2 linked regions of the Kluyveromyces lactis genome follow. The protein of the gene in region 1 purifies or fractionates together with the protein of each later gene. This does not show direct contact. Links are inferred from orthologs where the notes say so. Each region holds a gene or a part of one and is shown in the gene's direction. Other genes may lie near its edges.

Evidence for each region.
Region 2: the proteins of RRP42 (region 1) and RRP43 purify together in Saccharomyces cerevisiae (affinity purification with mass spectrometry; 5 studies listed by BioGRID). This does not show direct contact. The link is inferred for Kluyveromyces lactis from reciprocal best matches to the Saccharomyces cerevisiae genes RRP42 and RRP43.

What each region holds. Positions count from the first base shown.
Region 1 is NC_006041.1:823,699-826,425, reverse strand, and holds RRP42 (exosome non-catalytic core subunit RRP42), read left to right. Parts: upstream 1-1,287; coding exon 1,288-2,082; downstream 2,083-2,727. Other genes in the region: RRT6 (Rrt6p), read left to right, coding at 120-893; TRM3 (tRNA (guanosine(18)-2'-O)-methyltransferase), read right to left, coding at 2,138-2,727. UniProt on the Saccharomyces cerevisiae protein: Non-catalytic component of the RNA exosome complex which has 3'->5' exoribonuclease activity and participates in a multitude of cellular RNA processing and degradation events.
Region 2 is NC_006039.1:318,826-321,974, forward strand, and holds RRP43 (exosome non-catalytic core subunit RRP43), read left to right. Parts: upstream 1-1,472; coding exon 1,473-2,612; downstream 2,613-3,149. Other genes in the region: RBK1 (putative ribokinase), read right to left, coding at 1-909; KLLA0_C03542g (elongation of very long chain fatty acids protein), read right to left, coding at 2,899-3,149.

The sequences.
Region 1 (2,727 bases):
TTTTTTTTTGGGTCTAATCCACAGCTTTCGCTTCAGTAATTAGATTGTGGTCTTTTCGTTTGTTATTATACCCAGTTCATTTCGTTCCAGCTAGTAATTTTTTTGTTCTTTTTGTTTAAATGGTGATATCGTTGATATATGTCCTTTTACTGATATGTTCAGTTGTCTCGGAGACCCTTAAACTGCCGATAAACCCAAATCGATTAGAATTCGATTTGTGGCCATATAAAAAATGGGAAGTTGACGGCTCGAGTGACGCGTCTAGTTATCAAACTTGTTTCGAAATGAATACGAATATTAAGGCCAAGGATTTACAATTCCTCATTGAAATTGAAGAATTTACTAAATGGAAAGTTAATGTGGATAGGTTTGGTCCAACTACGAGTTCAAAGGGAAAACAGGTTGTCAACATGGATATTTATGACGAAGACCAAAATTTGGTACAGTCAAGACATGGTTTAGAGAATGGGGAAACTGTGCTTTACGTGAGCGTATACGAACATCAGAATTTCCAAATATGCCTTATCAACTTTTCATTAGACTCCTCATGGAATGCCATAGATAGTGTGAAGCAAGTAGCAATTAGCATCACGTCTAATGATCTGATTCAGAAACAGAAGTGGGATTTGATTACTGATGATGATCTCAATTTGTTATCCCAGGGTAGAGATGACCTGTTTTCGTTGGTCAGTGCGGATTCTGGCCAGGAATTGCATGCTTTAGATGTCGATCATAGAAATCTCAACGAATCAACGTTCTCTTATCTACTGGCAAAAGTCACAATATTATTCTGCATCATTGGAGTATGTCATTTGCTGGTATTTCCAATCTTACTGTATAGAATCGTTAGCAAAGGGCAACCGACCAAGAACAAAAATAAAATCAAAAGATAAGGAATAATTATGTCCATAAAACAGTTGATGTATTTGTATATATATTAAACATCAGCACCCTGTATCAGTACAACTTCAATATCAGTCAGTCAGCATTCATCGTATGTTAGTACTTCGAACCGTGACTGACACCTGACAGAACATCTCACTAATGGCCAATTATATCCGGGTAACACCGAATATTAATGTGCATTAGCGAAAAGAAGAAATGAAAAATCTGAACTAATTTCAGTATTGACTTATATGAGCTTGAGATGAGATGCAATGAGATGATGAGAAAAGGCTTATTTCCCTTCTATCAACAGCAATAGAAACATCTGAGTTTAAAGCGAGTTATCTTCTCACGAAGCAGACCCATCTCGTTAAAAAAAAAATCAAATAATATAAGAAGATAATGGGACTTTCGTTAACTGAAAAATCGTTCCTATACGATTCTCTAACATTAGATCCCCCATTAAGACCGGATGGAAGAGGTCCACATCAATTTAGACCATTGGAAGTATCTACTGATTTCCTTCCCAATTCTAATGGATCCAGCCGTGTGATATTAAGCGGAGGAAGCGAGTGTATAGTGAGTGTAAAAACTAAAGTCGTGGACCATACGGTAGAACAAGAATTGCTTGTTGCTGATGTCGACATCCAAGGCCACAGAGATGACTCTCCATTGGTTACCAGCATGTCTTCACTATTATCCAAATTGCTCAAACAAACTATTGATCAGAAAAAGCTAATGCTCACGAAAAGGTACAGTTTCAAACTTTACATTGACGTTTTGGTGCTTGCCTCCAAATCATACCCGATCTCAATGATATCTTTCGCCATTTTCAGCGCTTTGAAAAACACATGGCTACCGAAACTAATATCGAACGACGATGACTTAGAAGTGGAGGAGCTACCCACATTCCATGATTACGATATGGTTAAGCTAGAGGCAGATGCTCCTTTATTGTTTACGTTCGCAATTGTAGGAGACGGTGTTTTTGTGGATCCAACTTTTGAAGAGAGCATAGTATCGAACAATGGCCTTCTAATTACGTGGTACAAAGATAAGGTTACTTCTCCGATAAGATCTGTTGGCTTGAATAACGATAATATCAAAGGGTTCAGTCAGCATCATTTAGAACAAGCGTTCAAGTTAATTCGTCAATACGCACCACATATTGAAAAAGCTTTGGATGCTTCAGATTAAGGAACATTTAAATAGTAAATAGGTACTTTTCAGGGTGTTTATTATAAATGCATATCTATAAATGCTGGATCGAGTACGAATGAACGATAACAGCTGTTGCAGTTTGGATATTCATGGATCTTATTACCCCAGATTGTTTGATTTCTAAGCATAAATCCAACTCCTTTAACAAATGCCCTGGAATACCATGAGCTTCTGTTCCTAGTAAAATGACAGATTTTGATGGAAATTTAAATTCAGAATTCAGTTGAATGGAAGAATCAGTCTGCTCCAATCCAATTAACGTATATCCTTCCAACTTCTTTGCATTCATGTAAGATATTATACCATCGACAGGAACTTCTTCAATAGGCATCCAGCGGTCCGCTGTAACCGCAACATTTTTGAATTGAGGATGCTGTTTGACTCTAATATCATGAATTGTCATAGTACCGACACCCAACACGTCACAGAGTCTACAAATACCTCCGAGATTGGGTGCTTTATCCACTAATGAAGCTACGACAATTAATTCAGATCGTGCAACAGACTCAATGGATTTTTGATTATCGAAATCCAAGACAGCTTCCCAAGCACCACTCTTCGTTTGTAGGGGCGAGTTTTTTGCTAACTCAGTTGAATTTACTAGATTACTACTTCTTTTGG
Region 2 (3,149 bases), on another chromosome or scaffold:
CTGTATAGCTTTCTCTAGATCGCGTTTTTGATATAATTGAGATACTACCGCTCCAAGGAAGGTATCACCAGCCGCAGTAGTATCAACAACTTTCTCAACCGCTATTGAAGGAACGTGACCTCCTTTAACGTTTTGCTTAGAGGTAAAAACTGCACCGAATTCTCCCAAAGTTATAATAACAACCGAGGAATTTGATGTGTTTATCAAATTACTCTGATAATACTGCGCTAATTCTAGGTATCCCAGCTTGAAGCTCTCCGCAATTCTCGATTTGTAGTTCTCAACCACGGCTTCACCATACAGTGATTCGCCAATTTGAATGGCTTCAATTTCATTAACAATTAAAATATCAACAGATTTCCAGTCTTCTACTTTTAATGCATGAAATGGAGAAGGGTTGAATACTACCTCAAAGTTTGGTCTATTTGCCTTTATCCAATTCATGATGGAAGGAGGATCAGGAATTTCATGTTGAAACACAATGAATTCTTTGGCGTTATTTTGAAACATCACTTCAAGCTGCTTATCAGAATACATAGTCTTACTGTTCGCTCCTGCTGTAATCATGATTCTATTTTGTCCCTTAGCTTTTTCCACTATAATTACTGCAACACCAGTTGACTCGTCATCAACCTCTTCAACATATTCTGTATTGATGTTATGATACTGCAATTTTGATAGTAGTTGATTTCCAAATGAATCAGAACCTACGTGGCCAACCATCCTAATGTTGCTTGTCTGGTCATCAGATGGTTTGGTTAATTTCGCGAGCGAAATGCATTGATTCAACCCCTTACCACCAGCATGTGTTTCAAACGAATCCGCAACGAAGGTCTCTCCTGCTACCGGAACACGCTCCGTATACGTGACCAAATCAAAATTTAACGATCCCACGACAACTATGCCCATACTGTTGTCTTGTTTACTTTGGGGTCCAAGCTCTTTATGTCGCAGTTAATGCATTGTATATACTGTCAAATCCTGCATATAATTCTTATCATTTCGTTTCAGATGTCCATAAATAAACCCAAAGCAGAGAACAAAACGGTACCTTTTTACATTTAAGCTAATTAAAAGTAACGAAGATGTAACGTACCACTTGACATCTATCCCACCTTTCGCTGGATTAGCTGTTATTTAGGGTATATCACATCAATATATCGGTCACGTGAGAATTATATTCTTTTAAGCAGCCTAGGGAGTCCGCAGATCTATTCAGAACCTTGTCACTTAAGAATTGAAAGGCATAACCAGTATACTGTATCGATTCCTGATAGTGTTCGACCCTCTCAGGGGTTTATACCAGTGTTTTCCATCCATTATTACTGCATAAATCTTTCAAACCTTCATAACGTCAAGGATGTATAAAAAAGTGAAAAACTTCAACTAGGTCTTTTACAAACGATTATAGCTCATCGCATGGGCTTAAGGATGGAGGAACTCCGCCAAGGAGTTGCTACAACCGATCAAGTATGACTGAAAGTATTGATATACATCCAATAGTTTTCCCACCCGAAGTTTTAGCTCGAATTTCGCCTGACATCTCCTTACAAAGACATTTGTCTTTGGAAACTCGACCATGTTCAAGAGGATTCGAAGAATTCAGAGATGTTGCCATTAACGATGGTAATATATCTAGGTACAGTACGAACTGTCAAAATGCAACTACAAATAACATTATTGGTTCCAGTCTTCTACGCTCTGGCAAGACCTTTGTGATAACTTCGATAACGGGTGGCATCATTGAAGAGACATTACCGGCGAACAATACTGAAGATGTTGGAGAAGAAGAATTGATGAAGCTTTCAGAAGATACTGATAGGCTCTGCGAAAATTCAACTATTTATCCCGTAGTAGAGGTACAACGTGGACGTGTTGGTGGTCCTACCGATGAAGAGATGATCACTTCAGAAAAGCTATACAAGACACTCTTACATTCTGGAATTCTTAAGAAAACAGCTTTGGCTGTATCGTGCGGTATTCGCAGGACTGAAGAAGATGGAAGTGTCACCACAATATACAGTGACGAGCTACTCGATGAGGAGAAAAAAATTAATGAAGCAAACAATAGGAAATGGTCCTATGTGCTTTATGCCAAAATACAAGTTTTCAGCCGTAACGGTCCAATTTATGATCTCTGTTGGAATTCTTTGATTAGTGCGCTAAAAACAGTGCAACTACCTAGAGCTTTCCTAGACGAACGTGCTGCTGATTTGAAAATTGCTATAAGAACCCGAGGTCGTAGTATGACAATTCGTGAAACATACGACATCTTATGCGACCCACACAAATCTTTACCTTTAAAATTGAACGAAGGAGAATTATGCTATGGTTCAAACTACGGAATCATTGACATCGAACCTTTAGCACAATTGGCCAAAAATGATGACGAAATGGACGTGGATAAACCAACTTCAGTATTATTAGCGGATATAGAAACAGAGGCCGAGGAATCATCAATTCTATCTACATTGTCCTTGACAACGAACAAAAATGGTCAATTCAAGGCTGCAACAATCATCGGAGGTGACTCTAAGATCACACCTGAAATGATAAAAAGGTGCATATTTTTATCTAAACAAAGATCAAAAGATATTGAATCCAAAGTTTAGTTGTGTAAGAAGCATATCGATATCTTTATAATACACGACATATTCAAACTTTCTTCAAAACAAACGTCAGAGTAATCTTGAACGTCAATCAATAGTTACTTACAAAAGAGGCTAAATTTCTAGTTATCTACGTGAGTTCTCTTTCGTACCAAATCATGACAGGAAACCTATTGAAGGTAAAACATCCATAAGAAAATGTAACATAAATAAACAAGGATGAAGAGAAGAGAATAAAAAATGATAGCGTGTGTTGAATATTACAACGTTTACATGCAAAAACATGTATTTATGCCTTCTTAGATCTAGTATTTCTCTTTCTTGGAGCTGGAGAAGGAGAGGGAGTACTCACATTCTTCAAATCGACATTCACATATTCGTTAACCTTAGCTGCAACACCACCACGAACTCTTTTAACAACCTTAGACTTCTTTGTGCCTTGACGTCTGTACACTTCAATGTAAAATGCAATGAATAAAAATAAGTAAGAAGAGATGATGGCGCATCCAGAGAAAGTGGCAGTAGTCGAACCGACACAAG